Linked DNA regions of Sus scrofa. The protein of the gene in region 2 binds, or shares a complex with, the protein of the main gene of each other region. Links are inferred from orthologs where the notes say so. Each region holds a gene or a part of one and is shown on either strand. Other genes may lie near its edges. The genes, in order: LSM5, USP39 and PRPF4.

Region 1 (3,749 bases), on a different chromosome or scaffold from region 2:
TTTCTATATTCAATTCAAAGTATTAAATACTTTTGATCTGAGCCCTAAGATCCCTCACTGCTTTTAGTGTCTTTTACCTTAAAGCTTTGTTTCCACTAATTTCCTAACAATTAAGGTAATAATCCTACAATCCAATTTTACTAACCTCAGTCATAAAATTTCTATGTTAGTGATTCAAACAGGCAGTGTTTTCTCATACATCATTTTACTGACTCAACAGTGCTACAACTGCCTTAAAGAGAGATTCCCCCTGCCCAATTCTTTAATTTTTAACACTACTCACAATTCAGTGACATCTTCCAGTACCATATCTGAAATTTGGTGTTAAGAAAATATATACCATGTTAAATTTACTCTGGCTTCTGTCTTTGTTCAGTTTTAATTATAACATTGGGAGTTCCCATCATGGCTCAGTGGTTAACAAATCCAACTAGGAACCATGAGGTTGCGGGTTCAATCCCTGGCCTTGCTCAGTGGGTTAAGGATCTGGCGTTGCCATGAGCTGTGGTGTAGGTCGAAGATGTGGCTTGGATACATCATTGCTGTGGCTCTGGCGTAGGCCAGCAGCTTACAGCTCCGATCAGACCCCTAGTCTGAGTACCTCCCTATGCCGAGGGAGCGGCCCTAGAAAAGGCAAAAAGACAAAAAATAAAAATAAAAAAATAACATTTAACATAATGACTCAAATTCAAATTGCTTGCGATTGGTAGGGGTACACACACCCCTTAAAACACTACCACGAATTCCATGAGAATAAATTAATTTTTATTATAATAATCAGTAAGCACTGACTATAGTTCTTACTTTTTTAAAAAAAACTGAAGATGGAGTTCCCGTCGTGGCGCAGTGGTTAACAAATCCGACTAGGAACCATGAGGTCGCGGGTTCCGTCCCTGGCCTTGCTCAGTGGGTTAAGGATCCGGCGTTGCCGTGAGCTGTGGTGTAGGTTTCAGATGCAGCTCGGATCCCGCTTTGCTGTGACTCTGGTGTAGGCCGGTGGCTACAGCTCCGATTCGACCCCTAGCCTGGGAACCTCCATATGCCATGGGAGCAGCCCTAGAAAAGACATAAAAAATAATAACAAAAAAAAATTTTTTTAATTAAAAAACAAAGAAAAACCCATACCCCCACTTTTTAAAAGGATACTGACAAAGTCATCAAATCCGAGAAGCGTGCCAACAATCTCTTTATCACTCTTCATCACAATGTGAATTCTTGATCCTATACACTTGTCTACAAGCTCTATAGATACAGGTTTTTTAAAAGAAAAATAAGTGGGGGGAGGGGTGAAAAAAATTATTTTGCACATTCATTACTTCAAGAAATATGTGAGTACTTACTGGCACTTATTACTTACATATGGTGAAAGATAAACCAAGAAAAGGATTCACTCAAAAACTTCAGGTCTCGGGAGTTCCCGTTGTGGCGCAGCAGAAACGAAGGCCAGCAGCTACAGTTCCAATGGGACCCCTAGCCTGGGAACCTCCATGTGCCTCGGGTGCGGGCCTAAAAAGAAACTTTTTTTTGTTCAATGAAGGAAAAAACTTTCCAATTACCGCCACGTCCACTAACTTAATTACCCTTCAGATACAAAATATTAGAAAAAGACATAACTGTCTTCCCCAGCCCCAAGACGGCTATCCTCTGTTCTCTGAGAGCAGCTTGAATATCTCTTCAGCAGAATTACTGTTACTTGGTATGATGTTTAATTGTCTGGCATCCTGTCTCCTGCGCTGGCATGAATGCTACCTGAAGCTAAGTTACGATGTCTAGTCTACAGATGCGCAAAAACTGTTTGTGGAATAAATGAATGACAATCAGAGCTAATTTCCAGTGTCCCCTTTTAAAGCTCATTGCAGACCCCGCTACCTCTCTCAATAACGGGCCAGACAGACAACAGGGTCTAACCTAGGGATTTTAAATGCCAGGTAGAAGAATGGGACTGCTATCCACTACTGTAAAGGCGAACTCACAACAAAAAAGGCCGACGACGCATTCACTAAGTGTGAACCTTTTCCAGTGACGGTTTGGTGTGAGAACTCAGAAAGTCCTGGCTCAAGAAAACCCTTCCACGCCGAAAAGACGCGGGCGGCCTGAGGCCTCAGAGCCTTAGAGCCCAAAGAGCCGCGGATAAAGAAAACAATTGGTCAGATACATTTCTCTAACACTCAGTCAAGGACTGCGCTGGCCCTCGGCCCGCAACCCTTCAGCTCCCCTCCCCAGCTCCCCACAGGACAACGATTACCTAGAGGTAGCAGCTGCGACGGGTTAGTCGTAGCGTTAGCCGCCATGGCTACGCCGGAAGTGGCCAGCCTCTACCGACGTTGGGAAGGCGAGTTTGAAAGAGCGCGCTTCCGCTTTTTTCCCCTAGCCCGGCCAGGCTCGACCAATCTGAGGCCGAGCGTGCGATCGGGCCAGTCCTACGTGAATCGCTCGGAGTCACTTCTTTCCTCCGCAACGAGATCCGGGGGAATACATCAGTGCGTTGAACATTCTGCGGCCTCAGCAGATACTTTGCCCTCCAAGTTTCCAAGACAAATTAAAGATATCTTGCCTTATAAATAAAATATTCCTCAACCTGGAAGACTGCAAAATAGAAACGTTTGAGTCGTTTGATTTTCCCTGGGTTATATTTCATTTCAACCAAGGATCTTCTGAAGACCAACATAAATATTTTTTCCGCCACTGATTTTATTGTGTTGCAATTTTTGTTAAAAAACAAAAGCAAAAACTTTTTTTTTTTACAGGAATCTACCGCTTTTTTTTTTTTTTTTTTTTTTTTTTTTCTTTTTAAGGCCACAGAGCAGATACATGGAAGTTCCCAAGCTAGGAGTCAAATCGAGCTGCAGCTGCCGGCCTAGCCACAGCCACAGCAATGTGGGTTTGAGCCGCAGCTCGCAGCAACAAGGGGATCCTTAATCCACTGAACGACCCCAGGAATCCAACACACGCTCAGGTATACTAGTTGGATTCTTAATCCTCTAAGCCACAAAGGAGAACTCCCTACCTTTTTTTTTTTTTTTTTTTTCTTTTCTTTTCTTTTCTAGGGCTGCACCTGCAGCATATGGAGGTTCCCAGGCTAGGGGTCTAATCGGAGCTGTTGCTGTCAGACTACGCCAGAACCACAGCAACTGCCAGATCCAAGCCACGTTTGCGACCTACACCACAACTCAGGCACAACGCCGGATCCTTAACCTACTGAGCGAGGCCAGGGATCGAACAGGCAACCTCATGGTTCCTAGTCGGATTCCTTAACCACTGAGCCACCACAGGAACTCCCCTACCTTCTTTTAAAGGTTCAGTGTAGGAGTTTCCATTGTGGCTCAGTGGTAAGGAACCCAACCAGTACCTGGGGACAGGGGATTGGATCCCTGGCCCCACACAATGGGCTAAGGATCCGGGGTTGTCATGAACTGCAATTGTAGGTCTCAGACGTGGCTGGGATCTGCTTTGCTGTGGCCTAGGCCAGAAGCTACAGCTACGATTTGATCCCCTAGCCTGGGAACCTCCATAGACTGCAGAGTGCGGCCCTAAAAAGACCAAAGGAAAAAAAGTTTGCAAACCCATAGCTAGCTTTAAAGAAATACTTTTCTGGGGGTTCCCCTCGTGGCTCAAAGGTAAGGAACTGGATTAGTATCCTTGAGGACAAGGGTTCAATCCCTGGCCTTGATAAGTGGATTAAGGACCTGGCCTTGCTCTGAGCGCTGGTGTGGGTCGCACAGGTGGCTCTGATACAGTGCGGCTGTGGC
Region 2 (3,649 bases):
TAAAAACAGTATTTCAGGTGTTCTCCGGTCACCAGGTTAAGGATCCAGTGCTGTCACTGCTGTGGCTTGAGGGGGCACAGCTATGGTGAGCATTCATCCCCTAGCCTGGGAATTCCCACATGCCATTGGTGCAGCCAAAAAAAAAGCAGGAACCAACAGGTTAAAAAAAATTCTCCCAGTACAGAATCAAAAAGGAGTAAATTTGTCAAAAATGAAGAAAGGAATTAAACCAAGAAACAGTTAACTCAGCAGATAAAAAGAACCTTTTAACTTAATGAAGAGCAATGTTAAATAATAATTTTTTTTTTCCTTTTTCAGCTTCCCCCATGGAATATGGACATTCCCGGGCCAGGGATAGAACCCAAGCCAGAGCTGCAACCTACATCACAGCTGCAGTGATGCAGGATCCTTAACATACTTTAGTGGGCTGGGATCAAACCCACGGCTCCACAGAGACAAGGTGGATCATTAACCCACTGCACCACAACAGGAACTCCAGAATAAATTTTTTTATTTTATTGGTATTTTAGGTCTGTTTTTCCCACCTTTAATACTAATATTACACACACACACACACACACACACACACACACACACACACACACACACACACACACGTATTTTTTAGGGCTGTGCCCACTGCATATGAAAGTTCCCAGGCTAGGGGTTGAATCGGAGCTACAGCTGCTGGCCTGTGCCATAGCTATAGCAATGCAGGATCTAAGCTGAGTCTGCAACCTATACCACAGCTCACGGCAACGCCGGATCCTCAAACCACTGGGCAAGGCCAGGGATTGAACATGCATCCTCATGGATCCTAGTCAGGTTTGTTAACCACTGAGCCATGAAGGGAACTCCAGATGTTTTATATGTGTGTGTGTGTGTGTGTGTGTGTGTGTGTGTGTGTGTGTGTATGTATATATATGTGTATGTGTATATGTATGTATATGTGTATGTGTATATGTGTATGTGTATATGTATATATATATATATATATATATTTTTTTTTTTTTTTGTCTTTTTGCCTTTTTCTAGGGCCGCTTCCCTCGGCATATGGAGGTTCCCAGGCTGGGGGTCTAATTGGAGCTGTAGCCACTGGCCTACTCCGGAGCTACAGCCACGGGGGATCCGAGCTGCGCCTGTGACCTACACCACAGCTTACGGCAACACCGGATCCTTAACCCACTGAGCAAGGCCAGGGATCGAACCCACAACCTCATGGTTCCTAGTCAGATATGTTAACCACTGAGCCACGACGGGAACTCCCGGATGTTATATTTTTTAAAAGATGGGAGTTCTTCCTGCTTTTGTGAGTTTTACCCCCTCCTTTCTCCACAATACCCAGAGGTATTAAAACTCAAGTTAGGAGCTGGGGGTGAAAGAGCATGGAGTCTGAGAGGCTCAACAGGCACAATACACTTGAAATAAAAGCGTTACATACATGTGGTGATTTCCAAGTATAAAAAGACAAACATCAAGAGAAAGAGGGGGATCAGCAGGGCAGGTGTGCAAATGGGCTACCTTCTCAGTGATGCCGTTGAACTTGGCCAGGATGTTGAAGAGGGGCACTTGGGGGATAATGAGCTGCTCCTTCTCGTCCTTGTACAGGGGGGCGGTAGGGAGGTCCAGCGTCAGGTACATAAAAGTGGACTCCACCATCGTCTCCTGGTACTCATCATTGTGAAGCAGCTGCTCTTTTTCTTCTGCTGGCTAGAAATGAGTGATAAGAAAAAGGAGGGAAGGAGTGGCAGGAGAGTGGAGAACATCACTGATAAAAGAAACCATGTTTCTATTTCATTTACTTCATTTAATATTGAGGTGAACCAAGAAGGGTGTCGGAGAGACTGGGCAGTCTCATGTGCAGCTGCACAACCTGTTTGTTTTACTTTTATTTGGGGGGGATGGGGGTGCTGTGCCTGTGGCATGTGGAAGTTCCCGGGCCAGGGATCAAACCCGTTCCGCAGCAGTGACCCAAGTGGCTGCAGTGACAACACTGGATCCTTAACCTGAGGCACCACAAGAGAATTTCTGCACAACCGTTTAGATTAATGCAAAAACTAGGCTTCCATCTTCAGAAAGATTTTCTTTAAATACCCCAGTACTGGAGTTCTCTTGTGGCACAGTGGGTTAAGGATCTGGTATTGTCATGAGAACAGCTTTCACCACTGCAGCCCCAGCTCAATCCCTGGTCTGGGAACTGAGATCCTACATAAAGCTGTGGCATGCTGCAGCCAAATAAATAAATAAATAAATAAAAATAAAAGCCTTTAGATGGACTAGAAAGCGTCTCTGAGCTTTCTGGAAAAAACACTCCAGCACCACCTAGTGGCCAGACCACTCAAATTAGTCACCTCTTAGTATCTATAAGAGGCTGGTTCTAGGATACACCTTGGATACCAAAACCCATGGATGCTTAGGTCCCACAGTTGGCCCTCCACATCCACAGATTCCACATCCGCAGACTCAACCAACTGTGAAATGTAAACAAAGTAGTTTTATGTATTGAAAAAAATCTGCATATAAGTGAACCAGTGCAGCTCAAACTGGTGGTGCTCAAAGGTCAATTGCATATCCAACGACTACCTCCCCAACCAGCACACCGATGCAACAGGGACCCAAGGGAAGTGCCACTTGGCAGGTGTTCTGAAGAGTCTCTCTCTTCCTGGATAAAAGGCTGTACCAGTTATCTAGACATCTCTTTGTCCACTCCAAATCCTGTCAGGCAACATAAATCAGCCCAAGGCTTGAGTTCAAAGCACTCACCAAGTCGGGATGAGGAAGCTTTTTAGTGAAGATCCTCATGGATCCCTGGAAGACGTCAGTCACTATAGCTGGACAAACCCAAGTCAAAAAGGCAAATTTTGTTAGGTAGGAAAGCATTTCCAAGTACAGTCCTAATTCCTCAATTTCTGAAATAAACCAGCCTCTTCCACTGTAAGACCCAAAGCTCTCACTAAACACAGAACATACGCCACATTGGTACCTCTAGAATTATTTGCGTAAGTAATGGTATACCTATCTTCTCCACAAGAAACCCACTGACCCTCAAGCACAGGGCTTGGCCCCTTAGAGAAAAATGAAGTGCGTCTGAAATAAATGAGTGATTTACAGAAACTGAAGATTAATGAATCACAAAAACATTAACAAATAAAGTAAGATACATTCAAGAAACTAGAATCAGAGTTCCCATCGTGGCGCAGTGGTTAACGAATCCGACTAGGAACCATGGGGTTGCGGGTTCGATCCCTGGCCTCGCTCAATGGGTTAAGGATCCGGCATTGCCGTGAGCTGTGGTGTAGGTCACAGTCGAGGCTCGGATCCCCCATGGCTGTAGCTCCGGAGTAGGCCAGTGGCTACAGCTCCAATTAGACCTCTAGCCTGGGAACCTCCATATGCCGTGAGGGCGGCCCAAGAAAATGACAAAAAGACAAAAATAAATAAATAAATAAACTAGAACCGTAATCGTGTGCGCCTGCAAAGGGACACCATGTCCACCCTGCACTGGACATAAAAGGAAAACGACAGGTTAAGGGATAGAGCAGGGCAAAACCAAAGCAATGAGAACGGAGCCACCACAGGGTTCTAGAATCCTGACAAGACAAAAGCTGGAGGGCTCTGGTGTGCATGGGCTGAAGATACCTGTAGAGGT
Region 3 (3,749 bases), on a different chromosome or scaffold from region 2:
CCAATGCCAGAACTATCCTAGATATCCATAAGATAAGTGGAATCAATCTGAATCCAAACACACACTGAATAAATTCCCAGTAAAATTATTAACAATTCAGGGAAGAAAACCTGTATAAAAGGTTTTAAGAAAAAAGGTTCTGGGAGTTCCCGTCGTGGCGCAGTGGTTAACGAATCTGACTAGGAATCATGAGGTTGCAGGTTCGATCCCTGGCCTTGCTTAGTGGGTTAATGATCCGGCGTTGCTGTGAGCTGTGGTGTAGGTTGCAGACGCAGCTTGGATCCCGAGTTGCTGTGGCTCTGGCATAGGCTGGCGGCTACGGCTCCGATTAGACCCCTAGCCTGGGAACCTCCCATATGCCGTGGGAGTGGCCCAAGAAATGGCAAAAAAGACAAAAAAAAAAAAGTTAAAAGAAAAAAGGCTCTGGGGTAATGTTAAATGGGTAGGCAGAAAGTATGGCCTTCGAAAGATGCAAATTTTTGTTTGTTTTTTTGTTTTTTTGCTTTGTTAGGGCCGCACTTGGGGCATTTGAAAGTTCCCAGGCCAGGGGTCAAACTGGAGCTGCAGCTGCCAGCCTACAACACAGTCACAGGCTCTTGGGATCTGAACCACGTCTGAGACCTACACCACAGCTCAAAGTAACAGTGGATCCTTTAATCCACATTTGAATGAGGTCAGGGATCCAACCTGCATCCTCTTGGATACAAGTTGGGTTCGTGTAACCCGGGAGCCACAATAGGAACACCAATAGATGCAAGTTTAATATGCGAAGTTTTCTGACACTATACTTGTGATATCTACGTTTAGGAAAGTAAATATTACAGAAATTTTGAGCACCCAAAGTAGAGATGGACTACAGTTTGCATCTTACCAGAGGTTATGTTAATATTCCCTGCTTCAATTCCTGCTTTAAGTCCTTCTTTTCCCAAAATCCCAGACTCTCCTTTGGCCAGCCGTTCCCTCTCCTTTTCTTCCAAACTTCCATAATAGATGTGTGGTTTCTTCACAACAGGAGCGACTAAGTCATCAGGTGCCTTAGTTTTGGTTGCCTGTTAAATCAAAGACCTGGATGAACCTAAAGCTTAATCTCAGCAATTTGCTAGCTTCCCAGAGGATGAAGCTTATCCAGAGCTTCAATCCTATTCCCTCCCCCAAAAAAGACAAGTTGGACACCAATTAAGATGTATCTTCCCTGATGGAGTGGGGCAGGGGGGAGTGTTCCAGTCTCTCAGTCACTTTAAGTTTTGCAGATAGGAAGAGATAGATAAAACTAGTGAATTTCTCTTGTGATTTTTCTATCAATGGTTTGCTTTGGAACATGTTTACTTCATTTGGTTGGAGGTGCAATCTCTTCTTGGGTTTTATGAAACTTTCAGGGCCACTGCTCATCACAGGAGATATCAAGAATAACTGAAATAACCAACGCCATGATAAAGGGGAACAAGTTATAAAGTTACCGGTCTATACAATTCAAACGTTTTCAGACGCGAGGTAGTAGATATGAAGTTAGGAGGCCTCATTATAATCAAGACTGACACTGTCGTAAATCTTGGCCAAAACCCTACTCCCTTTCAGAGCTCCGTTTCTGAACGAGACGGAAGAGGTATTTACATTTTAGGGTTGTTGTAGTAAGAGATGAAAATGACCTAAAACACACTCCGGTCACTCAAAGAAAAACGCTGCTCAGCTCTCTAAGACCAGACCGAGTCTGGCAGCCTTCCTCCTCAGTCCTCCACCGCCCGTTCCCTAACGGCTCTGTTCTGCACGGACCCCCCACCCCTCCGCCCTCCCTGCCCTGCCAGAGTGAGCCGAGATCCGTACCGTGGAGGAGGCTCGCGAGGAAGCCATGCTGGGCTCCGAGGCCGCGAAGCTTCAGCAAGAGGCGAGCCCTACGTTCCAGACCATCCACCGCGCGCCTAACAAAGCGGAATTACGTCCAGACCGGAAGTGGGCCGAGGGCCGAAGCCGCGTCCTGGGCGCCGTAGAGCATGATGGGAATCGTAGTAGGAAAGGCTCTGGGTGCGTTGAGCGTTGTGACACGTACAGCCTCTAAAAAGAGCACGCGGAGGACGAGGTTCTGCGAGGAGAGAGACTCAGAGCAACCTGGGAGGTGTAGTGCAGTTGACATAGCAGAAGATTCGGGGTGGGCGCTGAGGTTCCGGGAAAGGGCTGAAAAGAGGTAGGTGCTTCAAGTCGCGCGCCTCCGGACTGAACTCCGGGAGTGAAACGGCACCTTCCGGGGTCTGCTGCCGCTCCCGGCCCTGCGAAGAGCTTTAAGTCCTCCTAGAGTGGTGGACCATGTTGCCATGGAAACCTTTGCCCCGGACCCAGGAGTGCGGTCCTGTAGCCGCGAAAGGAGTGTGCTTTCCTCCGCTGTCGGGAAGTTCTCTCGGCAGCTTCTTTTGAGCTGGGTGGATTTTCGGTGCATTTGGGCAGTGGCGAAAGAATAAGCTCGAAGAGCCCTCTAGCGCCAGAGTAAAATAAAGAGCCAGCGGAGGAGCCATGGCCTGTGTTTGGTCTATATTACTCGGAGTGAGATGAAGAATGTCAGGCGTCAGGTAAACTGCGCGCAAGCAGCTCTGCACAGCCCTGTGTTGCCCTGGGTGTTGGGGCACCAGAGATCGACAAGACAAGGTTTTTGCTCCCGTATCGGGGGTGGAGATTTTTCAAAATTTATTGTTGTTTCCCGAGCTGGACAGAGCCTCCTACCCTCTCCAAGGGCAGTTACAATAATAATGGCTACATATTTGAGCGTTTACTAAATGCCAAGTTACGTACGTTACAGGCACTTATCTGCATCACGTCATTCAATCCATACAACACCTGAGTACAGATACAAGGGAAGAAGCTAAGATCTAGTGAAAGGCGAAGCTAATTGTCCAAAATCAGTGGCAACAGAATTTGAGTCTCTGCCCTTTGCCTCCAAAGCAAGCACTTTTACCCATTACACTATACTTCTTCATAGTGGTGAGCTTTTTACAGCTTGCGGGAAAGTTAGAATGTATCACAGTTGTTTTTTTCTTTTAAGCATTCTCTTGGAACTTTGGCTTCCTCTTGCCTTTGTCTACGTTGGAATCAAGATCCTATTTGATTTGGGAGTTCCTGTCGTGGCGCAGCAGAAACGAATCCGACTAGGAACCAGAGGTTGTGGGTTTGATCCCTGGCCTTGCTCAGTTGGATCCGGAGCTTAAGGATCCGGCATTAGGGTGAGCTGTGGTGTAGGTCGCAGACGCGGCTCGGATCTGGCATTGCTGTGGCCCTGGCGTAGGCCGGCAGCCACAGCTCTGATTAGACCCCTAGCCTGGGAATTTCCATATGCTGTGGGAGCGCCCTAAAAGGACAAAAAAAAAAAAAAAAAAAAATCGTATTTGATTTAGTACCAAAAAATTTGAAATGTAATGTGTCAGTGTTTTGTGTTGATAATATCATTTGTCTCAGTCCCAGGCTTCATGGGAGGAGGGGAAATTTTATCTTTTGTATACTTCACAGTCCCTAGCTACATCCTAGAAACATGTAATAATCATTTATGTTTGTACATACTTTTTTTTTGCTTTTTAGGGCCGCACCTGCGGCATATGGAGGTTCCCAGGCTAGGGGTCTAATCAGAGCTACAGCTGCCGGCCTGTACCACAGCTCACCACAACACCGGATCCTCAACCCTCTGAGTGAGGCCAGGGATGGAACCCTTAACCTCATGGTTCCCAGATAGATTCATTTCCACTGCGCCACGATGGGAACTGTACATACCT

The links.
Region 1: USP39 (region 2) and LSM5 share a complex: the UniProt entries of both Homo sapiens proteins name them as parts of the U4/U6-U5 tri-snRNP complex. The link is inferred for Sus scrofa from reciprocal best matches to the Homo sapiens genes USP39 and LSM5.
Region 3: USP39 (region 2) and PRPF4 share a complex: the UniProt entries of both Homo sapiens proteins name them as parts of the U4/U6-U5 tri-snRNP complex. The link is inferred for Sus scrofa from reciprocal best matches to the Homo sapiens genes USP39 and PRPF4.

Annotation. Positions count from the first base shown.
Region 1 is NC_010460.4:40,751,025-40,754,773, reverse strand, and holds the start of LSM5 (U6 snRNA-associated Sm-like protein LSm5), read right to left. Parts: upstream 2,385-3,749; 5' UTR 2,292-2,384; coding exon 2,246-2,291; intron 2,235-2,245; exon of another isoform or gene 1,358-2,234; intron 1,243-1,357; coding exon 1,147-1,242; intron 312-1,146; coding exon 284-311; intron 1-283. UniProt on the Homo sapiens protein: Plays a role in pre-mRNA splicing as component of the U4/U6-U5 tri-snRNP complex that is involved in spliceosome assembly, and as component of the precatalytic spliceosome (spliceosome B complex).
Region 2 is NC_010445.4:59,132,486-59,136,134, forward strand, and holds part of USP39 (U4/U6.U5 tri-snRNP-associated protein 2), read right to left. Parts: intron 2,832-3,649; coding exon 2,764-2,831; intron 1,711-2,763; coding exon 1,522-1,710; intron 1-1,521.
Region 3 is NC_010443.5:253,904,894-253,908,642, reverse strand, and holds the start of PRPF4 (U4/U6 small nuclear ribonucleoprotein Prp4), read right to left. Parts: upstream 2,386-3,749; 5' UTR 2,180-2,385; coding exon of another isoform or gene 1,989-2,179; 5' UTR 1,849-1,988; coding exon 1,822-1,848; intron 1,050-1,821; coding exon 872-1,049; intron 1-871. Other genes in the region: anaphase-promoting complex subunit CDC26, read left to right, coding at 1,989-2,179. UniProt on the Homo sapiens protein: Plays a role in pre-mRNA splicing as component of the U4/U6-U5 tri-snRNP complex that is involved in spliceosome assembly, and as component of the precatalytic spliceosome (spliceosome B complex).